Drosophila melanogaster: one gene and its partners. The protein of the gene in region 2 interacts with the protein of the main gene of each other region in a pairwise test. Each region holds a gene or a part of one and is shown on either strand. Other genes may lie near its edges.

Evidence for each region.
Region 1: the proteins of CG11586 (region 2) and BaraA2 interact in a two-hybrid assay, tested with the Drosophila melanogaster proteins (one large-scale study listed by BioGRID).
Region 3: the proteins of CG11586 (region 2) and Pef interact in a two-hybrid assay, tested with the Drosophila melanogaster proteins (one large-scale study listed by BioGRID).

Annotation. Positions count from the first base shown.
Region 1 is NT_033778.4:13,402,519-13,410,879, reverse strand, and holds BaraA2 (baramicin A2), read right to left. Parts: upstream 3,870-8,361; 5' UTR 3,838-3,869; coding exon 3,786-3,837; intron 3,713-3,785; coding exon 3,500-3,712; intron 3,441-3,499; coding exon 2,938-3,440; intron 2,882-2,937; coding exon 2,876-2,881; 3' UTR 2,711-2,875; coding exon of another isoform or gene 2,567-2,710; 3' UTR 2,522-2,566; downstream 1-2,521. Other genes in the region: CG18278 (uncharacterized protein), read left to right, coding at 1,063-1,065, 1,119-1,812, 1,870-2,507, 2,567-2,710.
Region 2 is NT_037436.4:4,259,112-4,267,354, forward strand, and holds CG11586 (uncharacterized protein), read right to left. Parts: upstream 3,360-8,243; 5' UTR 3,256-3,359; coding exon 3,153-3,255; intron 3,094-3,152; coding exon 2,612-3,093; 3' UTR 2,362-2,611; coding exon of another isoform or gene 2,251-2,361; 3' UTR 2,195-2,250; downstream 1-2,194. Other genes in the region: CG15011 (uncharacterized protein), read right to left, coding at 1-16; CG1309 (uncharacterized protein), read left to right, coding at 432-557, 633-946, 998-1,149, 1,257-1,860, 1,927-2,194, 2,251-2,361; VhaM9.7-a (vacuolar H[+] ATPase M9.7 subunit a), read left to right, coding at 3,703-3,960; CG33764 (uncharacterized protein), read right to left, coding at 7,678-7,833, 7,887-8,054, 8,120-8,243.
Region 3 is NT_033778.4:10,476,663-10,485,273, reverse strand, and holds Pef (peflin), read right to left. Parts: upstream 5,112-8,611; 5' UTR 5,020-5,111; coding exon 5,011-5,019; intron 4,952-5,010; coding exon 4,732-4,951; intron 4,185-4,731; coding exon 4,105-4,184; intron 4,048-4,104; coding exon 3,984-4,047; intron 3,912-3,983; coding exon 3,685-3,911; 3' UTR 3,388-3,684; downstream 1-3,387. Other genes in the region: trsn (translin), read left to right, coding at 5,236-5,310, 5,364-5,451, 5,518-5,614, 5,677-5,792, 5,849-6,180.

The DNA of each region.
Region 1 (8,361 bases), on a different chromosome or scaffold from region 2:
TTTAATATATATCTTTCGAATGCAATAACCAAATCTATTTCAATCTATTTCAAACTTGATAAGATTTGTTACATATTTTTTTAAGTTAAAGTAACACCTGACCGTCCATTATAGCGAGCGGTCACTGTATTCACCGCTTGGTGGATGCGCCCACCCATTTGAATACAGACTGCATTGTCTTCTTGGTGAAGCCAAATTCGATTCGCTTGGCCTCATGTTTATTTAATCTGATCAATTGGCGCAGCGTGTCACATAAATTTGGACAATTTTAAAAATGCACAACATTTGAAACATTTGAATATTGCGCTTATATGTAAGTTTATCTTTCTATTTGCTGTTATTTATTTTGTAAGATCGCGAGGAAAAAAAACACATTTAAGAGGCTAGAGTTCGGTTTTGTTTTTTTTTTTTGTATCTGTCCCCTTGTCCGCGGCGCAGCTTTGTGATACGGATACAGACTTGCATTCTTTTTTAAAAAAGTCTATCTCTAAGTAAACTGTAAACATTTGTACCTACATATGCATTACATTATTGTGAATTTCAAAAAAACATATTGATGTCAGCAAAGAATCTGTATTTTTCGGTCACCGAACCGCTGATATTTAATGGAAATAAATCATATTTCTCTAACGTGGCTTGTTGGCTTTCAAATACGGGGTCTGGAAATAACTAAGAAGTTTTGAATTTTTTGTTTGGCGCCAACTGTAAGCTTAACAGTTGATTAAAAGTACAGTGTGTACACCCCATTACCCTACTGTTGTCTGGCAACGCGACGCTAAATAAGTTTAGACATATGGCACCCCTGGAAGAATATTTGAATTTGAATAATTCGCGCGCCTGAGAGCTGATGTTCGTATTTTCACAAGTGGTAAGTGCAGTTTACTAAATAGGTAAAAATGATACTTTCAATATAATTTGATTAGGTTTAGAGTTTGTCCTATTTCGGTTGGCCATTGGCTAACACTAAAAGATCGCCGCTGCCTTTTACAACACTGCACTTGCAAGCCGGGCTTTGTTATCGCACAAATTTTATGTAAACAAAAGAAAACTTCGATCTGCTCCATGGTGAGTATTCCAAACTAATATCCTATATGTTTTATATCAGGTGATTTCTGCAGATCAGCTTAGCCCCCCTGATCATCCTAGTCCTCGCTTGCCTGGGAAACACGGCCAGCGAGAAGTTGCCCAACATTCTGCTGATCCTGTCCGACGATCAGGATGTGGAGCTGCGCGGTATGTTTCCCATGGAGCATACGATCGAAATGCTGGGTTTCGGTGGCGCCCTGTTCCACAACGCCTACACGCCCTCGCCCATCTGCTGTCCGGCGAGGACGAGTCTGCTGACGGGCATGTATGCGCACAATCACGGCACCCGGAACAATTCCGTAAGTGGTGGATGCTACGGACCACACTGGCGGCGAGCGCTGGAGCCCCGGGCCTTGCCATACATCTTGCAGCAGCACGGATACAACACCTTCTTTGGCGGGAAGTACTTGAATCAGTACTGGGGTGCTGGGGATGTGCCAAAGGGTTGGAACCACTTCTATGGCCTTCACGGGAACTCTAGATACTATAACTACACACTGCGCGAAAATAGCGGCAACGTGCACTACGAGTCCACCTACCTAACCGATCTGCTAAGAGATCGCGCCGCTGACTTTCTAAGAAATGCTACACAATCCTCGGAACCGTTCTTCGCGATGGTCGCCCCACCGGCAGCCCATGAACCCTTCACTCCGGCACCAAGACATGAGGGTGTGTTCTCCCATATCGAAGCCCTGCGCACACCCAGCTTCAATCAAGTTAAGCAGGGTAAGGTTGTTATCAAATGATATCTATGCCACCAATATACATAAGTACCCTTTTTAGATAAGCACTGGTTGGTGCGAGCAGCACGTCGTCTGCCCAACGAAACCATCAACACCATAGACACGTATTTCCAGAAACGCTGGGAAACGCTGCTGGCCGTGGACGAACTGGTCGTCACCTTGATGGGAGTGCTAAACGATACGCAATCGTTGGAGAACACCTACATTATCTACACCTCGGATAACGGCTACCATGTGGGGCAGTTTGCACAGCCCTTCGATAAGAGACAGCCCTACGAAACGGATATTAACGTACCGCTGCTAATCCGGGGACCTGGAATAGCACCTGAGAGCCACATTGACACTGCCGTCAGTCTAGTGGACTTGGCACCGACTATATTGGCCTGGGCCGACATCGACACACCATCCTACATGGATGGGCAATCATTTCACGAGCTTTTGCTCAACAAAAGGCGAAGGGTTCCATTTTTCGAGCGTTCCCTGTTGATCGAGTACTGGGGCGAGGGAACTCTGGCCACCTTTAATCCTGAATGCCCTTGGCCAGAAAAGGATCGATTGGCGCAGTGCACCCCCGCAGCGGATTGCCATTGCCAGGATGCATGGAACAACACCTACGCCTGCTTAAGAAATATTCGCCATCGCGAGGATCGCATTTACTGCGAATTTCGGGATAACGAGGTAAAGAAGCATTTGACATTTGCCATTCTATATATTTCATGTGTTTATAAATATTTCAGAACTTTTTGGAGGCATATGACCTGCAACTGGATCCCTTTCAAATGACCAACATTGCCTACGATCTGCTGCCCATTGAACGAGCTTTGTATTCGTTGCGTCTCAAGAATCTCACACAGTGTTCGGGCCACTCGTGTTTTGTATAGATATATGCATATTACTCCTAGCCAAATAGTAATCCAAAACCAAATTCAAGTCCGCTGGGCGCATATAGATTTCATATTCAGATATCATGTGATTTATGTTGCTATATACATAGTCTCATATTAATCGTATTTTACAGTCTAAAGTTACACTTATTTGAAACCGTTTCAGTACTGAAAACATAAATAAGTTAGTTGATTGCGCTGGTTAAATGCGTGAGATTGCTTACGTGCTGAGCGGGACGTCCCCTTCCGGACACGATGGTATGACCATTCCTATCGATTGTGACAGTGCGTCCGTCCGGACGCTTCCAAACGGAGACATTATTGTCCCAAATTCCTGCCTGATCGTCGCGGGCCACAAAGTTCTCACCCTGGACGCGGGCATCGTTGATCCCACGGCGGAAACGTTGAGCGGAGAAGCCACCGTTACCGAAATCAACAGTGCGATCTGGTCGCTCCACATGGAACTGTGGACTGCGTCGACTGCGTTGAATATAGACGCCGCCATTACCAATGGTTACGGTGCGATCTGGGCGTGCCACATGAAGCTGTGGACTGCGTCGGCCACGCTGAATGTAGAATCCTCCGTTTCCAACGTCAACAGTGCGACCGGGACGCTCTACGTGAAACTGCGGACTGCGCCGGGCACGTTGTGGGATTCCCACGCTCTTAGCTCCATTGGGCCCTAAATTTTTGGCGGAAAAATTGGGACCACTGATGGTGTGGGAAGCTGAAATTATGAATATAGCATTAGGATCTTCGAGAATCTGTATAGAGACTTAAACTTACCTGGTCCACCAGCGTTCTTTCGGTTAACAAACGTGTTGCCCGCCTCATCGGTGTACACATGCTCACCCCGTTGAGGAGCGTTTTGGAACTGGCCACCCACTCCCGGCACGCTGTAGGTGCCTTCATTCTGGCCCCTTATATAGACCTGATTGCCCGGTGAACCGAAGACATGCGGCCCATTGCGACCGTCGTAGGTGTGTTGTGGTTCCGCAGCTGCAAGGATTATAATAATGTTATGTAACCGCTTTCGCGAAATATTATATTATATCCAGAGGTTACTACTTACCGACGCAGATAACGCCACAGATAGCCAGTGCAATCAATCCAAACGATTTCATTGTGATCTGTTCCAGAGCCCAGCTTCAACTGAGTGCAATCGAATGGTTTCTAGTATTTATAGCCGGCACATAGCCATCGAATCTGGTTGCTGAGCTTGTTTACACCGATCGTCAAGAATTTCCCAAAACGTCACAATCTGATCTGAAATGGGTGTGCGTTCGGGAATTTCTGAACAGATTGCGCCGCCCTGACCCGCAATAAGCCATTAAGCATCCACATATGCTAGAAATCCACCCATCATCCCGCGGAATATGTGATCGCTTATTTGGAAAAGCTGCCATAACTTGTTCAGTACTCGTATACCATGCAACTTATGTCACTAAATTATATTATAATATGACAAGAGTATTAACTGCATAGGTCTCTTTATTTAGCACGTGCTTATATTGTTTCGTCGACTTGAATCAAACTGTCGGGTTTTCTTAGCCGCCAGATAGTTGCATTTAAAGTGGATTGCATTTGACACGAGAATATATTCCTGGAAGTCTCTGGTTGCTACTATTTGGTGGCCAACAATGGCAGTAAATATTGGCTAAGTGAAACTCTTTTAAGATATTGCAACCCCATTCTCTGCTGTCACTTGGTATAAAACAAAATATATTTTTGAAGGCATTCCTTTATCTTTGGATTTAAGCAAAACTTGAGGCTATATATCAGCTCGACTAATTTAAGAGTGTTGTCTAATAATTTCAGCTTTTAAGTGTTTTTCGCTTTAAAAGCTAATGCTAATCTAATTATATGAGTTATTACCTCCGACTGATAGTGTAAAGGTACTGCGTAATTAAATTAAATTTTATTTTTAATTTTGGAAAATACATTGTTTATTCGTACGTTAATATAATCTCATGACATAAGTGACATTCTCATGAAATTTCTTGGAATATTCGAATTTAATATATATCTTTCGAATGCAATAACCAAATCTATTTCAATCTATTTCAAACTTGATAAGATTTGTTACATATTTTTTTAAGTTAAAGTAACACCTGACCGTCCATTATAGCGAGCGGTCACTGTATTCACCGCTTGGTGGATGCGCCCACCCATTTGAATACAGACTGCATTGTCTTCTTGGTGAAGCCAAATTCGATTCGCTTGGCCTCATGTTTATTTAATCTGATCAATTGGCGCAGCGTGTCACATAAATTTGGACAATTTTAAAAATGCACAAAATACACTAAATTTGCTGGTTGTTTGTCTTGGCCAGACCAAAATGGCAAGGATGTCGAGGATGCCCAAGGTGCCCAAGATGCCCACGACAAATAGACGACACTTGTGACCACAAAAAGGGGTTTGGCTCTTGGCTTTTGTTGGCTTCTGGCCACGTCGATGTCGAATGTTGGTGCAACTCAACACCTTGGCAAATGAAAAGAAATTGCCCGGCGTAGCCCGGCCTGTGCTGTTCTCTTCGGATGTTTCCGGTTGCACGTGCAGATGTCTCAATAGAAAACCCCACACCCCCCTATTTCATCCAGCTTCGTTCGCCAAACAAAATACTTCAGTGCAATTGCATTTAAATCAGTTGGCCGTGGTGCTCGTGCGTTGTTTTCCTTTCGAATCCTTCGGATACTTCGAATCCGTCGGGACCTCCGTGTGCGCGGCACCCACATAAATTATGCAAAATTTTTTCCCAGCCAGCAAGGCGAAGGAGTCGAATGTGTAGAGGAGTAGCAGAAGGTCCATGTCCCTGTGGCCTGTGCGCCATTTGTTCATTTCGAGACCAATAAAATGAGGCATTTGAAAGTTGTAAATATGCTGCTGCCCCATTCGACGTTCAGTGTCTGCGGCTCGTAAACTGTCGGCCAGTGTTTTGTCGGTAATTTTCTATTTGCCACAGTTGCGTTGCGCTTAATGAATTGCTTGTGTGCGGCTTGTTGCATATGCATAAGTGGTGGTGGGGGTGGGTGGAAAAAGAAAAACCCATCTATTTCTTTATTGCATTTAAATGCGCCTCCGGCGAACATTTCATTCGTTCATTTCCATATTTAGTCGTAGCGACTTGGCTGCCAGCGCTTTCTTTGTGTCCACCGTGTAACATAATATTTTACTCAGGGATCGCAGCGAAAAACAGTGGAAAAATTTGTTTGGCCAGCGGATGGACAGCTGTAAAATGGGAATAGAAAAAACAAACGGAATGGCTCGTGCCATGTCATGTTTTGTGATGCACGGGTCCAAGGATGCGCCGGGTGTCCTTTTTGCGCCCCTTTGTCATGTCGCTCGAATGGCGCACACCCAACCATCCGGCCATCCGAGCATCCAAGCATCCAAGCATCCCAGTATCCTCGCATCCTCGCTTCCTCGAACCCATCACCTCCTTTGAGCACTCGCCGTGACAAGGCAAACGAATTGAGGCATAAGTAGGAATCGCTGTAATATTGCCAGGCAACAACCCATCCGAGTTGCTGTCCAGTTCGGATCACTTTGCAGTTCAGTTCTTAGTTCGGCTCAGTTCTTGTCGTTGGGCCACCGAAAAAGTTTAAGCCAAGACAATGCGACATAATCGAAAAACAACAGACGGATGAATTCGCGTGAATTATGCTGAAATTGTGGGAGCCCCCCTCTCTCATCGGCCAGTTGTGGGGGCTGAAATGTTTACTTTTGATTGACTACGCTGTTTGATAAGACCGTCTCTTGCCGGGATTACAAAGATCCATTTCAGGGGGACATGCTGCACTTCATCAGAGTGTTGTTCATGGTTGGGGAGGAGCTAGTGCTGGTTGGTTAAAGTAGATTTATGCATGCTTATATTTCATATTAAATGTTTATATAAATATATGAGTATTTTAATTAAAATTTTATGCTTACTTAGTAGTAGTCATCAAACCTTTGTTTAAGAATATAATATAGTATATTTAACTAATAAATTTTCCACATAATTACTTAGCGTTTAATCACTAAGTGTCATAGTAAATGTAGGTAGTCAAATTCTCTAATTAGAGTTTCATTTGTCTTAAGAACTACCTAAAACTCCTTAAAACAAATTTGGTAAGATTTTTACCTTAATAGAATTAAAGGTACAATATAAAAACAGTAACAAAACTACCAAAACTACGATTTCGAATTGTTTATTCGCTTTCTAGGGACTCGTAATCCTTAAGTCAGCAAAGTCTAAACCAAATCGAATATAATCCGGATTCCGGATACAAAGTGGTTTCAGCCAAGAAGTATGCAACACTTTGCAGTCGCCTGCATGGACGCTGGCAATCGAAAACTGTTGCATACTTGGCAGCTGCACAGATATATATATATGTACCTATATACGAGTATAGCCCCACTTTGGGGCCATGTATGCGTGCTGGACTATTTATCAATTTATTACGCGCAAAAAGTTTGCTGTGCGACTATAAGCCAACTGTCGCTGCCAACGATATGTGGCATAAACCTGTTGTATCCGCATCCTGACATCGTTCAATGCTCATTGGGAATAAGCGGTAGTGTGCGTGCCGCAAAATTAGCCAGGCATTCGCACGACATACGTATGTAAGTATATATATACGTAAATCTGGGCATCAGGTGGCTGGGGCTTTGTTAACGGATTTATGCAGCCATAATAAAACTTGGGCGCTGCAAATTGATTTATGGCTGGGAGAGCGCGCAAACAATTGCAGAAACACTACTATTCTATCTATTCTAGCTCGTAGGACCTCCGCTGCCTGGAAAACTTTTAATTTTCTAAATGTATTCGCCGACAGAGAACTTGATGCCTTCGATACGCAACGCACATAAAGAAGCAAAGCCAACTGGCGGGAAAACCGAGTTTGGAGTTGGGCGCACATCCGTCCCAGAGAGCCGAGGTGCAATTTAATGGCGAGGCCAACGTAAAAACTGGAAAATTATGACCAAAATGAGAATTTAATCGAAATACGTGAGTGGAAAAATGAAAATTTGACTGCAACTTGGGAACGCGTCTGACTGGCCGAAGACCGAAGCTTTCTCACCTTTCTTCTCTCTGGGAAATGCTGTGCAGTCAGCAAAAGGGGATTCGATTTATTCATACGCAATGTAGTACATTAAATGTCTTGTTATAAATCACTACTCGTATTTATAGGGATATATGATTATTAACAGCAAACTTTTCTATTTTAATACCCATTCTATGTGTATAACAGTTTAGCTACATAACCATAATGTTCAAAAACGTGATTATCTCTAGTCCTCATTTGCTTGGCTTTTAATAATTTTATAGAAAGTTAAAAAGATATAAGAAGAAAGGATATTTCTTTAACATTACTTAACATAAAACCCAATAATTTTGAACAGTGCACAAGTAGCTAGGCAACAGGCGGCGGAAAGCAGCATAAAGTACCCAGTGCAAGCTCATGCAACTTTTATCATGGCCACAAATGCTACTGCTGCTGCTGGTGGATCCTGGTAGCTGGTTGGTGGGTTTCTGGTTGCTGGAGCATCCTGGCATCATCATCAACACTGGCTTCATCTGCTTACGCGTTGCCTTGAGGCCCACGCCCACCGAAAGCCGCCCACTCGCTCTAGGAAATAGCACAAATTAATGCCACCGCCACCGC
Region 2 (8,243 bases):
TATTAAACTTTTCCATTTTTAAGCCGGCGTTTTTGTCTATCAACTGGGAATAAATTCCTGGGGTAGAACCAGGGATGGCTCGTTCTCTGATAACAGCAATTAGGGGATCTAGTTCCGAAAGGTACACATTTGTGTGAGCTTTCAGTTTCCAATTGGGAATTTCATTTAATTCAAAAAAAATACATACATACACATTAATACCTAAATTATCAAACATCCTCTCTGCATATTTTATTGCATTTAATAATTTGGACCAACATTTTGAAGTTTACAATTAATAGGTCAGGTATCTAATGTGGCAGCCCTGGTATTCGATGTTAAACATCTGTTCGTGAGTGCGACACCCTGGAACAGCTTTCACATCATTTGCAACAAAATAAAATAGAGAAAATTAAATATATCCAGACATACCGACTACGATCCGATCCAAGATGAGTTTCCTAAATTACGTGTTTGGCCCCAACCTCTACATGGAATACCGCGGTGTGCCGGAGCCGCAGCGCAAGATGTACGAGGCAGGTGCCGTGGAAAAGTTCGGGGAGCAGATTCTATCGACGGTAAGTGCCCTGCGATCCCATGGGGCAGAATCTGGAGCATATGGTAATGTGGAAAATCGACACTCTCCGTTGCAGCTATCGGTTATGTGGTCCGTGGGCTATTATACTTCTCCGCTGCTCGTCACATTCCTATACCGACGCGGCTACCTGGTGACCGATTCCATACCGACGCTGGCCAAGATCACCACCAGCGTGGGCCTCATCGTCATCCTATCGCTGGTGATGCGCGGCCTGGGGCGCAAGCAATCGCGCTCCTACTCCAACATGATTAAGGCCCTCGTCCGAGCAAAGTCCTCCAAGGCACCAGGAGATGCCAACAGCGAGCTGCGTCGCTTCGACATCGAGTTCAACGCTTGGCCGGTGGACTTTGATGTGAAAGCTCTAACCGGGTGAGTGGGCTACGCCTTTGAAGTGTGCCAGAATAACATCTTCGTTTTCAGTGATACCAAAAAGCCGGTGGTTACGGCTAGAAGGCGGGAGCCCATCCAGCTGGCGACACTGCCCTGTGAGGCCATCGCCTACCTGGCCATAAACACCTTTGGGCTCTCCATGATCTATCCGGGTTCGGTCAAACTACTCCAGAAACTTATGAGTAAGAAAGATATACATATGTGAAGCTGTCTGAAATGTTGTTAAATTGCAATCCGATAAGCCCATAAGATAGACTTCTACATATACTGAACCTAAAATATTTTGCAGGACCCATGCTGATCTCCGGACGCGCCAAGCTCATCGAGGATGACAACGGCATCCGCTACAAGGTTAAGACCATTGACTCGAACGAAATCGATACGTTGTTCATTGACAATCGCCCAAACAACGTGGGAAATGGCAAGACTCTAGTCATTTGCTCCGAGGGCAATGCCGGTTTTTATGAAGTGGGCATTATGGCCACCCCAGTGGCCTTAAAGTATTCCGTTTTGGGCTGGAATCATCCCGGATTTGCCGGCAGCACAGGCACTCCTCATCCCCACCAGGACAAGAACGCCATCGATGCCGTGGTGCAGTTTGCCATCAACAATCTTAGGTTCCCCGTAGAGGATATAATTTTGTATGGCTGGAGCATTGGTGGCTTTAGTACACTATACGCTGCCTCTGTGTATCCGGATGTCAAGGGAGTGGTACTAGACGCCACCTTCGACGATGTGCTCTACTTGGCCGTTCCTCGCATGCCAGCTGCACTGGCGGGCATTGTCAAGGTAGCCATTCGAAACTACTGTAATTTGAACAATGCCGAACTGGCCAACGAGTTCAATGGACCCATATCCTTTATTCGCCGCACTGAGGATGAGATCATTGCAGAGTGAGTGATAACTTTTGCATTTGGGCAGAGGTCTTTCCTAAAACGTAACCCATTGATTTCCATTAGGGACAACCACATTGACACAAACCGCGGAAATTTCTTGGTCTTGTCAGTGCTCAAGCACCGGTATCCCAACATTTTTGGGGCTTCCCAGTTGAATAAGGCCAAGGGGCTGCTGTCTAAGCCCCTGGAACCATACAGTATCCCCGTCGCCGACGAGAAGCTGTGCATGTCGCGCCTGATCACCTACGCCTCTGACGAGGGCAAGTCATTCCCCATGAACATTGGAGCAGATTACTCGGAGGAGGTGCGCAATCTGATGGCTGTGTTCTTGGTGGGTTTATTCGGCAGTTTAAATGGTCTATATATCTAATACTGTTCACCTTTCAGCTGCGCAAGCATTTACGTGACTATAACTCGACGCACTGCACCCAGCTGCCCGGGGAGTTCTTTACCATGCCGTGGGACATACCCACTGAGCAGGGATTTGTGTTCACCTAAGCTCATTCCGCAGGTGATCCACGGCCGTATGCTTAGATTTAGTAAAATGGTTTTTAGTAATTTTTGCCTTCTGACTGCTTATTAAATTATTCTAACTGGGAACAGCCGGGTAGCTGGTGTCTTCTGAACTGGTGTGAAATTATATACAAAATAAATGTCACAAGCTAAACTAGACGCGTCGTCTTGTGGTTAGTTTCTATTTCATGGTACAGCTAAAATTGGAGGGGAGGGGCAGTTCAACACTTAGTTCCTACGAGTTCTTCTTTGATCCACCGAAGCCGGAGAAGCCCATGATGGCGGCCATGTCGTCGGGCATGCCGCCGGACTCGAAGTCCGTGTCCTCGGCCTTGCGCTTCCGCTCTTTTCGCTTCTCCTTGCGGTGTTCCTTGTAGCGATCCTCCTCCTCCTTGGCCTCCCGCAGGCGGCGCTCGAGCTCGTAGTCTTTCTGCTTCTCCTCCATCTTCTTCTTGTTCTGCTGGAAGCGCTCCTTTACCTGGTCGACGGTGCTCCGCTCCACCTTCATGGACATGCCCAGATTGCGCTGGTGCTTCTTGCCATTGATGTGGTCCAGAAAGTTGATGGAATCCTTGACCACGCAGTCGCAAACGTTGCAGTAATAGCCACCGGATTGCGAGGTGGGTGTGTTCTTGTTGATGACAACGCTCTTGCCCAGCTTGCTGTCCAGGTCCACCTTATAGTCGCGTCGCTTGAGGTTCTCCCGCTGTACGGGTTCTGGTGAAAAACAAAAAGACTTTTATTATGTGTGCCTTCCAGGGAATTTAGACACTGACCTTCTTCCTTGGGTGCCACCTGGTTGAGCAGCCGCTCCGCCGCCAGCTTCTCGTACTCGTTCTTGTCCCATTTCCTTCGGTGGTCATCAGGTCGCATCGTCATGGTGGCGCTGGGATGACAATTGCACTAAAATCTATTCGGTAAAAGTAAGGCAATGAAAATTTGTAAATATTTTTGTTAGCGATGCGGCGGTTTGCGTCTGAGCTAAGATTTTGGACAGGGATGACAACTTGATATTTTTTTTTAAATGTTATCGATGGAACCAGAAGGCGGATGTGAAAATGTAAAAGCAGTTGTTAATTTTAATTTAAAAAAATTGTATTTAAAGTTTAAATTAAAGCTTATTTAATAGCATATAAGTCCGAATCTGTATACACAAAAAAATGGACCTAATTTTGGACATCGACGATAACCACAGGTAGGTAAAATAATCGATGTGCGATAAATATTGATTTTTCGTATACAGCAGTTAGGAAAAAAACGGTAGGTTGCAATAAATACCGTAAAATCTGGGAAATTATTGTATTTTAAAGTTTCATAGCCAAAAAAATGGGTGCCGCTTTCTTTCCCGTGCTGTTTTTCACCGCCTTGTGGGGCGGTGTGGGCATCGCCATGCCCATAATGACCCCCAAAGGACCTCACCAGAATCTGATCCGCTGCATCCTGATGCTGACCGCCGCCTGCTGCTGGCTCTTCTGGCTATGTTGCTACATGGCCCAAATGAATCCCTTGATCGGGCCCAAACTAAAGCGCGATGTGGTGGCCATGATTGGAAGGTCCTGGAACAACCCAATTGTGGCTGGTTAGGAAAATAGAGTGACTGCTAACTAAATTATTCTGCAATAATCGTCACATTAGCTGTTTGTTTTACGTTGTAAATAAGAAGTAAAAATATCAAGTGTTCTGTTAACTTCGAATTGTTTAAATATCAGATATTCAATAATAAATTAAATATTTAGATTGCCTTGTAAATAAAATCTATAGGCATCAACTAGTACATCTGCAGAATACTATTATTGTTTCAAACCAAATATTCTTTCTACCAATATAAATTGTATAAATGAAGACAGTTTGAATAATAGGTCTATTTAATTTTTTGAATAATTTAAGTTAAATTAATATTCTTTAGTTAATTAATGGCTACCACACAGTTATGCTGAATAAATTCCAAAAACAAGAAAGTATTTTGACATTCCAAACAAAAAGACAACCAACTTTTCCTTTCTGTTTGCACATATTCATATTTTAATTCTCTTTATAACTACTGCAGTCAGTAGCTGGTCCACAATAGAAATGCCTTCCCTGTCCATTTGAATAACAGAAGAATAACGATACTTTTGCTGATAAGCGCAGAGCGAAGAGAAAGAGTGGAGAGAGAGAAAAAGAGCCCATCTTCTTTTCTCTTTTCTTCGTCTGCTGGGGGCCAACACCACCGAGATTTGTAGCCACCGTCTTCAGTTAACCTTCAGTCACGGGCGCGATCAGTTGGCTTTTCCGATTCGTGTGGTTTTGCAGTGCCCATGGAAGAAAATACCGTGAATTTCCGAATCAATAGAAATTAGTCGCATAAAAAATAATCCAAACTGTGCAGCATTTGTGATTGAATTCAAGTACAAATCGATCGCAGGGAGTGATTCTTAATTCTCAAATGGAAACCGTCTTCTGCAACGGTGGACGATAATTGAGTGAAGCAAAACCTGGCAGGTGAGCTAGTTAGGAGTTTACAACTTAATTTGCAAGAAAGGTGCAGGAGCATTCCGGAATCTTCGGACTCTCCCTAAGCCAAGTCTCGCGACTTGGGCCATAAACTAGTTAGGCATGCCATAAAGCACCGGGTGTGCAGAAGGTCCGAAACTGGTTACATTACCACCAGCGTAAGAGGTCTAAAAAGCCTGGCCAAGCACAATAATCGCGCACAAACGAGCTGGCAAAGCAACAAAATTATGGATGTTAAAACGAAAAAAAAAAAATGGCAATAAAAAAGAAACAGTCTGTAATAAAAGAAATTAGAAATTAAGACTCCGCCAAACACCCGAAAAAAAGGGCGGCACGAAGCAAAGAGCATTCGCCCAAGCCAGCCATTCCGAAACCAACTGGCACTGGCACTGGCACCAATAAAAGCGTTGAGAATGTCTTAAAAAGGTGGACAGGTGATCGTCCAAAGAGCTCGAAAAAAAAACAAAAGGCCCGGAGATCGCTTTGTTGCCTCCTCGCGTCGCAATTCTTCTTGGTGTCGCTTTATATGTCGCTAACCGCGCAATTACCACGTTCATGAACTGGGCCAATCGACAGTTCACTGCTCACTGTTCACCGTGCTCGGTTCACTTCGCTCGTGGCCATTTCCCATTTTCCCCTCGGCCATTCCGGAGACGGACCCGTTGCACTCCGCTTTGGAGCCACGACATCGGAGATGGCGCACCGCGGGAGGAAACTCCATTATTATCCGATCCCACTAACCGCTATAAGATGAGTGGTTCGCCCATTATGTCGGCGGATTGTTATGGGCGATGGGAGATAGAAGCGGTTGCATCGATAGGAACATAGTATATTGGAATTATGGGGCATCTTCGGGGGTTCAGACAAGCTATAACTAAGAACTTGTTCAAAATTAATGCTGATTTATTAAATTACATGCATTACTGATGTTTGCAAATATGGAAGAGAAATGTCATTTCATCATAAGATCAGTTGATCCTAGATGAAGAAACATGTGCCTATAATAAAACATGTAAACAAGAAAACGTATATAAACATACATACATTATATTACCGCCTTTTTGTTATTCATGCATTTAATTAATAATAACATAGAAGGAATGTTTTTTAGTGATCTACTTGTTCAGTTTGCCCACTTTTCTATTTTACAACAGCATTTAAATATTTCTAAACAATTAAGTTTTTATGAGCCCAGCCCCGGGTGCTATTATCCTGACCGCAGCTGTGCCCATTACAGATATGAGTGTTTTGCATGCGCCTATCTATGTATGTCGTTGCGGAAATTGATTTTTAGTCGCAGTTAAGATCTCAGTCGTTTACGGTTCTCGTTCTTTTTTTAAAATAAAGCGGCAAAAAGACAGGAAGAGGCTGTGGCTCTCGGCACTCATTCTTCTTCTCCACATTTTTTTTTATTTTTTTTGACCCAATTCGAGGCGGGGCACCCAGTAATAGCCGAGCACTGACGCAAATGCGCCAACGATCCAAACTGACTCATTGATAACTGCAGCCGGAGAAAGTGCCAAATGAGCAGAGCCACTGACTCAGCACGAGACACTCGGATTGGGATGCGGACTGGGACAAGGCTGTCTCGACAGGTTGCCAAATCCACTTCCAAATCCCAGCCAGCAGACGAATCCGAATCCAAGATCTCATCCTAGACGCATAAACACACCCATATCTTTCGCTCTTTCGTTTTTTCTGTCTAACTGTCAGTAAGGCATTTGCAGTGTTTCTCCCATTATTTTAACCACATTTTCGTGCTTCTTTTCCTATTTTGACAATTTTCACCTCATATTAGTTTCACTGAGGCAATGAAAATTTTCATGTTTTTTCGTCAGTCGGAAGTGGATCAAACGACAGGCGAAATAGAAATGCGCAAAACCAGATTGAGATTGAAAAATTATGTACATTTTTACGAGCATTTCTTTTTTCTTTTTTTTTTTTTTGTTATTTGTGTTTCTGTTTTGGTTTATTTTGATTTCGTTTTCGTTGTCTCGACACTCAAATTATTCATTTACGAGTTAATGAAACACTTTCGCTCGTTAAGAGTCGGTCAAGTCAGAGGCCGAAGATCTCGGAGATCTGAGATCTGAGCTCTTAAGATCTCAGGTTAATTCTCCGCCTCCACAAAAAAAAAAGACTTTTTGTCTTGCCTCAGATTCTCCGCTCTTCCGCGGCAGTGAATGATTCTGCGTGAAGAATCACAAATTGGTCAAGAAACGGGGGTCTAATCATGATGATATCTCTCGCGACTGGCCCAAATTGGCAGTACCGACGACTGATCATCCGTGCCGCACGATTCTTCTGCGCGACGCCAAATGCCAAATGACAGAAGAATCCGAAGACTGGCCATCAGATTGATCTCCGTCTGGCTCTTCAGCCGACTTGGCCTGGCCAGCAGTTCGTGCCGGGCCGGAATAGAAATAGAACATAACGCTAAGCTAAGCTGCGGCTAAATTGCATTCAAATGATGTAAAATCGCCTCTAATGGGCCGATCTTTTGTTTCGCCTGCCAAGAGGAAAGCGACCTCAAATGCAAGAGTTCGTTGCGGTGAAGCGAATGGAGCAAGAGCACTCCGCTGCACTGTAAGAAAAACATATTCATTTAGTGTAACTGAAATAACAAATATTGGATTTTATTTGAGCATTCCCACTAACGGCGTAACGGGTATCTGATAGTTACATAGTTTTTTACATATCATCCACCACCAATACACAAATATATCTAAATACATTCATAATTAAGCTCGTCTTTAAGTTTATGCTTCATTACTTGCATTCCAATTCTATTTTTGATTGCTTTTAGTATCAAGTAAGTGTCCAATAGAACTTAGTTATAGCTCGATCAATATCGTAGGCTATCCAGTGCATTTCAATCATATATTTTCCCTCCGGAAAGGGCAGTATTTTTGTAACCTTATTGTTTATACTATGATATGGCATCTTATCCAGAATAATATCATGCTGAAATATAGATAATATGAATATTATACTTTATTACCTTGGGGAATACATACGTCAAAGGGGCAAGAGTGGTTAATATTGGAGTAATCTTTGAAAAAATTGTAAAAGTAAAGGGCAACCGGATTGGGATTCGGCGATGTTAGGAATCTGCACGCATCAAAACTCATATTGTAGAGAAAGGGCATATAGCCATTCACGCGTTTATAGAGACCAAAACGCACCTGAATAAAAGAATATAAGCTTATTAATATGCCTCAAAATACATTTGGATATATGTTCATTATACCTTTACTTTGCTAACGGGTATCTTTAGGAGTTTAACTTTTACGGAAACGTATTTGTAGGATCGGTTAACTGATTTCAGAAACCAAGAATCAAATAAGGCAAAGTCCCTATCCAGAGACTGGCAC
Region 3 (8,611 bases), on a different chromosome or scaffold from region 2:
AGCTAGATCCAGCCAACCAGTGCAGTGTTGATTGTGTTGCCGTGTGGACGCTTTTTGGTGCGTTGGTCGTGGGCTGAAATGCAAATTACCAGCGAAAAAAGCTGTAAAAGCTTGCAATAGCCACTGTGATATTAAATAAAAAAATTATTTTAAAATTTTAAATGATTATGTTGCATCGGCCCAGGCCAACTTCCAAAGGCAAAAACAGCAGCCTGCACTAGAAATGTGCTTTTAAACGTGTGTTGTGATTATAAATATATTAAATTAAATATACCTGGTGACAATAATAAGTGTCTAGATATGTGCCTCATTTTCTAGCACTTTCAGATATTTTTTAATTACCAGGCTTTATTATCACATAACTACACAAAAAAAAAGCAGTGAAGAAGCACATTCCACAAATTATTAAACATACAAATTAATATGCACTTTTTTTTATTTATTTATAGGTGCTACACATTTGCGGATTAACACAGTGCTTAATTTAAATCATTTCATATATAGCTAATCTATTTTTTTTTCTATTTTCTAGATGGCTCAGGTTATGAGTTATTGTAAAACGGTTTTGGTTAAAAAAAAAAAAAACTCACCCATCACAAAAAACCATCAACACACATCAGCCACACCATCAACATCCATCATCAAACAAAAATCAATGTGTTCATTTGCCGAGCTTTTCAATTTTATTTGTTTATGCCAAAGATGTGTTTACCGAATTAATAAAATTTTTTACAATGTGTACTTTTATTTGTTTAATTTTAAAAAAATGCGAAATTATGCGTTTTGCTTTACTTATTTATTTACTTGTAGTGTATTTTGCCTATTTATTGCATGCCATTCATCTAACAACATTTTTTGCCCTAATCCCAGCAGTCCCAGTGTTAAAACTTGCTTTTTCATTTGACGCAGCTCAATCCAAACGATTGACATAGACCAAAGCGAAGGAACTTCGAACGGAGTGACTTGAACGAAAAAACCCAGAAACTAAATTAACCAATCGCAACCATGTTTCCAATTGCAGATTTGAGCAGGAAGGAGAACACCGCACCCGATGTGGCGTCCACCGCCGAGATTCAGCGCAGTTTCCAGCGCAGCATTCTCAATGGCAAGCAGCGGGATGAGCAGAAGATCCAGTTGCCCGGATCTCGGCGCAAGCGCTTGTCCGTCACCGAGGTCTCCGACATGCTGTTCGAGTTCTACAAGACCAAATCGGCCAAGGTGCCCAAGGCGGAGCAGCCGCACCGTCAGGTCTCGCCGACATCCGGTGAGATCCTAGATCCCTCGACCATTTCGGCCATTGCCGTTTATGGTACGGCCTCCGAGACGGCCTCAAAAAACTTGAATGCTGATGAAGTGATGCGAGTTCAGAACGCCACAGCTACGCGTGTGGTGGGTGCTGCCGCTGGCGCCGCCGCCTCATTTCATCCAAGGCCCAAATACACCCTGAAGACAGCGGCATCGTCCACGGAGCATACCACGGCCATACCCACTTCGGTGCTGGTGGCCAATAGTGCGGCGGCTCTGACTCCGAAACCGCAGGCAGCCGTAATTGCCGAGGCCCTGATGCGAAATGGACTGCACAACTTCCAGCAGCAGTTGCGTGCCCAGGAGATACTGCGCCAACAGACACCCCATCGTCGCATCAAGGAGGAAAACGATGTCGAAATCGCTGGGGGCGACATAACACCCACTAAAATTCTGGAGAACCTCTTGCGAAAGCAGCAAGAGCGCGACCTCCGCCACTCTGAGTGTGAGAACGAACCGGGCTATTCGACCGAGGACGACGAAGAGGGTCGCTATCATGCCTTCGATGACATACACCTGATGGAGCAAAGCGGTGGCAAGTTCGGCAACAACTCCGGCATGGGCATGTTCAATGCCAATGCCCATGGAGGATCGGCCAGCTCGATTCTAGATGCCCATCAGGCCTTCCGCAACCTGGAGTTTACACTCAGCGATTATGGCGGCAGCAGCAGCAATGGCAGCACCACCAGTCCCAATGGCATCGGCCTGGATGGCGAACCCGTATACGAGTGCCGTCACTGCGGCAAGAAGTATCGCTGGAAGTCCACACTCCGGCGCCACGAGAATGTCGAGTGTGGCGGCAAGGAGCCATCGCATCAGTGTCCCTACTGCCCCTACAAGTCGAAACAGCGCGGCAATCTCGGTGTCCATGTGAGGAAGCACCACACCGATCTGCCCCAGCTGCCCAGCAAGAGGAGATCGAAGTACTCGATGAATCGCGAAAACGGGATGAGCGGCTCCATGTCCGATGACTCGCAGGGCAAGCTGATCATCGACTTCAATGGGAAGGGAGAGCTTGAAACCAAATAAATTTGTACGGGGACCGAGTGATGCTTCCATTTGATATACAATATATTTTACGTCTGGTGTCTTGTTTTGTCCATTGGATTTGTGGAAATTTATTTCTTGTCATTCATGTGTCATCCCAAATATTTAATGTTTACTTGTAGTAATTTATGTAATGTAAGCAAATGCAAGCCAATCTAATCAAGCATATAATCAAATTAGTCTTAAAGCCTTTTTTCTAACGATGCATTTATGCGTTAAAGCATCAGTTAATATCTCTTAAATTGTATAAAATGATCATTCACCAAATGTCAATTTTATACTTACGATTAAGTGTGCAAAATATTATCAAACAACACTCAAATATTTTCTAAGGTCTCTACTATTTAAGATATCACGATGTTGTCCAGAAAAAAAGTATTTAGAAAGGGTTCGCCTCGCCGTGTGCGTATTTCCAAAAAGTTCCCAGCATCTTGCCCAGAAACCCTCTGCCATCCAACGATCTCTTGACTTGGCTTGATTAAGCTACTAAGACCAAAACTTTTGGTAACTACTCGATAAGCTCAATCGATGCCATTTACAATGATATACATTATGACTGAATTAGTTAAGAGAATTGCATTGAACTGACAACTGAACAAACCATTAATTAACCAATTGAAAACCAACTATTCCTCGCCCTGAAGACATTCGTTTCATATATTTATGGACTTTAAGACTGAGTTTATTGTATCTTAAAAATTATTAACCCATGACCAAAAAAAAAACAAAAAAATTGGAACATTGTACGATTCCCAAACCAAAAACCAAACACTTATTATGCCTAAATGTTTTAACTGATATTAATGTTTGTATCTTACCATTAAGCTTGTGTGCCGTCACATTGAATCGCCCGATATTTTATGATTGTATACTTAATAAGATTATAATTCCTAACTGCATATCACGTGGTCTTCACCGATCGACGAAGACACGATTACGAACTGTGGGCAGTGTGACTGCTAAAATAAGACATGATTTTATAATGAACTTTTCATATACAATGTTTACATTTTAAATAAAACGCAGATATCTTTTAATTTTTAAAAATACGTGTGTATAGTTTATTATTAGGCGCAAGAGACTTTGTACTATGATTATTGAGTCGAACTGCGTTAACAAATACTTTTGAAATTTGATTCTGATACCAGGAGATTGCAATATGACTGTGGAGTGATTCATTTACATATTAAAAAGCTAACACCGTTGAAAATTTAAGAAAAATGCACCAGTCGCGAAATTTATGATCATCCACTGTTGGCTGTAGTGTGTGTGTGTGTGTGTGCAAGACTGTGGAGATGCATTCCCATGGAGCGGTTGCATTGAATCATTCTTTCAATACGAGCAGCCAATGGCCACGGTGAGGAAGTCCTCGAACCCAATGGTGATGGTTCCATTCTGCTGGGTGTCGCGCTGCCTGAAGGCCTCCGTGAAACGCTGCACCTGCACGCAGAGCACTATGAACTGATCCACGGACACCTCTTTGTGGCCCTGGGGGTCGCTCTTCTTCACCAGGAAGTTTATGAATTCGGGCGAGAATCGAAAGCCCATCTGGGTGAAGGCTGCCAACAAGTTTGGTAATTAGTGTAAAAGGCCATAAAGGAATTGGAGATTCAGTTGTTGTGTTAGCTTACCTTGGGTCAGCTCCTGTTCCTCGATATGTCCAGAGGAGTCCTGATCGTAGGTCTTGAAGACTTGCTGCAACAGTGATACAATGAGTCAGACTACTTAGTTTCGATATAAGAAATACCTTACCAGCCATTGGTTGATGTAGTTGTAGAGCTTCTCGAACTCATAGATATCGATGGTACCACTGGCGTCGTTGTCGAACATGCCTGTTGAGTAAATTAAAAAAGGCGATAAAAATACAACATAAATCGCAGGGTAAACAAACGGAAAAGTGTCTGGCGCTCCAGGTGATCTAAACAAATATGCATGTACCCTAAATTGGGGCAATAAATACAGTGAAACATTTATAGCCGAAAGTATAACTAAATTGATACTGACTGTCTGTTAGGGGAGTACTGACGTCACAGTTTCCGGAAGGGGAATCGAAGGAATTTTAAAGTATTTCATAACTGAAGCTTACTTAGCTATCATCAGCTCACAGGATGATCTAAATATATGTGCCCATGTGCCCTTCATTGGTTCTTGGCATACAGCGGGTGTGCTAGGCTACGCATAGAAGATTCAAATCGACAACCTGTTCTTGTGTTCTTGTGTTACTATATTGCCTACCAAACTAGTTTAGCTTATGATCGTCTTTTAGAGGGTCTACTGTATAGTATACAGTGTATACACGTTTGTTAGTGTTCACCTACTGACGTCACAGTTCCTGTAGAGGAAACTTTGGGATCTTTTTTGGGCAGGGCTTAAGCTTACTTATCATCAGCTTGCAGGCATTATCCGAGAAGTGATCGCCACGCCCATTCACCAGGGCCGCCTGCAACTCGGAAGCGTTTATCTTTCCAGATCGGTCGCGGTCCACCATGGAGAACCATTGCTGTGCCTGCGGAGACACCTGGGCATTCTGCGGCGGAAATGCTCCTGGCGGCGGGGCATAGCCACCACCGGGCTGGGCATACGGGTTATAGCCTTGTCCCTGTGGATAAACGGTAGTAAGTACATTTAATCCACTTTCTTAAGCATAAACACACTCACATAAGACATTTTGTCACGAGCCTAGTTCGATTCTAATTGGAACTTGAGGGACAAAACAATTTTAATGAAACTACAGATGACAAGAAGGGCGTTCACCAACACTGGTTTGGGCAAGCGATAACAATGTGACATATCGATAGCATTGCTAGACTTATTGCTTGGCTATACTCCCATCCCTATCGCCGGTATAAACAACTAACAAAAGCAGCAAAACATTAAGCAAAAATGTCGAACTTCGTGAACTTGGACATCTTCTCCAACTACCAAAAGTACATAGACAATGAACAGGAAGTCAGGGAGGTGAGTTGACGGTTAATATCCTAAAAACCACCATCTTAAACCATTGTTTTTAGAACATCCGCATTGTGGTGCGCGAAATCGAGCATTTGTCAAAGGAAGCGCAGATTAAACTGCAGATTATTCATAGCGATTTGAGCCAGAGTAAGTTCTGTACAATTTGGTAGCTTGTATGTTTTGTTCTAATATGACATTATACTTGAACAATAGTTAGTGCCGCCTGCGGCTTAGCCCGCAAACAGGTTGAGCTGTGTGCCCAAAAGTACCAGAAATTGGCCGAACTGGTGCCAGCTGGGCAGTACTACAGGTGAGTCAGATGGTGAAATCCGTGGTGTCTATTGTGGGTGTCGAATGCTCCGCCTTCTCCAGATACTCCGATCACTGGACCTTCATTACGCAGCGTTTGATCTTCATCATTGCCTTGGTTATTTACCTGGAGGCGGGCTTCTTGGTCACCCGCGAAACAGTGGCCGAAATGCTGGGATGTAAGCTAGATTTGGAAGGCTCTCTGGATACGAAATAATAGTTAATTACTCCACAGTGAAGATCAGCCAGTCTGAGGGCTTCCATCTGGATGTGGAGGACTATCTACTGGGCATACTGCAGTTGGCGTCGGAGCTCTCCCGATTCGCTACCAATTCCGTCACCATGGGCGACTACGAGCGTCCCCTGAATATCTCCCATTTTATTGGTGACCTGAACACGGGCTTCCGTCTGCTGAACCTGAAGAACGATGGCTTGCGAAAGCGCTTCGATGCCTTAAAGTATGATGTCAAGAAGATCGAGGAGGTCGTCTACGATGTCAGCATACGCGGTCTGTCCAGCAAGGAAAAGGACCAGCAGGAGGAGCCGGCTGTTCCTGCAACCGAATAGTTTACTTCGTACGTAGGATAAGGCGTTTATTAAAATGAAAAAGTTTCATTTAAACAAGCAAATATATTACATTCATTAAACAGAGTATCATTTTATTTTACTATTTAAATCAGGAATGCTCGTAGGAATCAAATGTAGCAGGATATATGTATGTAATCCTGTGTTAAAAATCTGAAATGTGTTTTTGTTTTTTTTCAGAACACATTTCTTTACATCTTAATAGGCACCATCTTATTTTAATGATCAGTTTACACAGAAGCGAAATAGTGCTTTGAACCATAACAAAAAAACATAAGTTTGTGCAACTTAAAGGTAATTAAAATGGCTGTGCGCGTTTTGATTAAATCATAACTAAGTATACATAGAGACAAGTGCAGAAGTTTGATGGCTTAACCCTTTTGAAACTTGTTTAGCCACCACCACTGGGCCGCAGTTGTTGTTGTTGCCCCGATCATATGGTGGATTTGTTGCTGCTCTTCTTTGGCCGCTGCTTCCGTTTCGCCTTTGCTTCTGCTTCTCAGGCGCAGTTTCAGTCTCTCTTTTGCCACCGCAACGCTTACAACGTTAACATTGCGCGCGCGTCTTTGCATTTTCTTGTTTGCTGCTTCGTCGTCCGTCGTCCTTCCCGTGTTGTTCTTATTGTTTTTTCCCGCTTTGTGCGCTCTTTATTGTTTCGCCCTTTCTAGCATTTTGATTTGAAAGTGGAGACTGCAATTGGTTACCATTTCAAGAAAGTAAGTCTGGCGGGCAGTTGGCCGTGTGAAAAGTCCGTTGGCCCAGAAACTCACCCGCTCTCTTGACCACGCCCCCTTTTCCGTCCCCGGCCCGAAAAAAAAGCTAAAAACTGAGAGACTCCAACCTGTTTGGCAATAATTGGGTCACAAATCTGGTAAAAACTTGTTGCCCGAAATGGTCACTAAACAAATAGCACTGTTTTTATTACAAAACTTTAGTTGAGTCTGCAGTTGCCTTGTTGTTGTTTGTTTGTTTTAATTTTTTTATTTCGTTCCGCAGACATAGTTGTTGTTTGGTGTTTTTCAAAACACGCTTTAATCGAAGCGGTTCAAAGTCCGAAACAAGTTTCCTGAGAGGCTTAACGGGGCACGCTCTCTCCTTGTTGCTCTTTCCCCTCTTCTTACAACGCACTGAGTGGGAGGAGAGCGAGAAATACTGAGAGAGCTTTCGACGTAAACATCTGAAAAGCAAAACCACAACAGACACCCACACACTGACGGGCAGGTGTTGCTCTCTGCGTCTCTCTTTCTTCCTACCCCCATTCCAACTTTCTTGCATTCTCATTTCGAAGGGAAAATGCCAAGGAAAAGCCCAGCCGCAAACCAACAACAAAAAGTCAATATAATAAACCCAGAATCCGAGTGCTAACTGTTATGGAAAGTAGCGAAACCATTAGCTATGGACCTCCTTCATTGAGTGTTTTGCTTGCATACCCGGCAATTAAAGACTTGCAGGGTATGTGTATTTTCAATACATCAAAAAACAAAAAATAATATATAGAATATATTTTAGTATCGAAAAAGATTTAAAAAAAATTGAAAAATTTTAAAATACGCCCTAATATTAGTTGTATTCCTCAAAGTCATATTTTTTTGAGTATCGTCTACTGTAAGTATTCAATTAGTAGTGGGTATGTCTTGAGACAAAATCATTTTAGTAAGTTTGCTTGTTTATTTCGCATGGTAATTACACGTTTATAGAACTATTAACCTGCATTGAATATGGTTGTCAAATAAAAATATTAGGTATACCTTGTTATGACCGCTTTTAACGACCACACTCAACCAATAGTGTGTTACGTTTTTAAGTGTCGCAGTACTTCAGAAATGTTCACAGCACTTTTAGTTCAATAACTCATGTGAATCCATGTAATAGTGGATATCTTGTAGTCGAGTATCTCAAAGATACCCCGCTCGCTTTATCAATTTTCGTTGCGCTGGCCGCGGCAGCTGTGAATGATTTGCAAGGGGTCCCAGCGCAACTGGTTCCCAGCGCCTTTGTGCTGCCCCTCGGAACCCGACCCTCCAGAGCCACCAATACCTCGATCGTACCGCTCTCGTTAGACATGCGTGGCTGGCTGCCTCTGTCGTTCGCAGTCGCCGCACATTTCAAGTTTGCTACGGTTCAAAGTCCAAACCCAAGATACAAATACCAGCACCAGCAGCACCATTTCGTTTTCATCGCAGTGGTTATTTTAAATCGAAATTCTCCAATCTGGGCACACTTTCGATGGGGGGGGGGGGGGGGTTACGAAGATCCCGGTCGTGCGATAAGCAGACGACATTTATGCCAGGTAGACACTTCCAACGCGTCACCGATTGCACTAGGTTATTCTGACAGCAATCACCTCTTATCGGAACCGCGTGCTCGAGCAATCCTTATCAGACCACCGAAATTGCGTACCACTGGAGTTCTC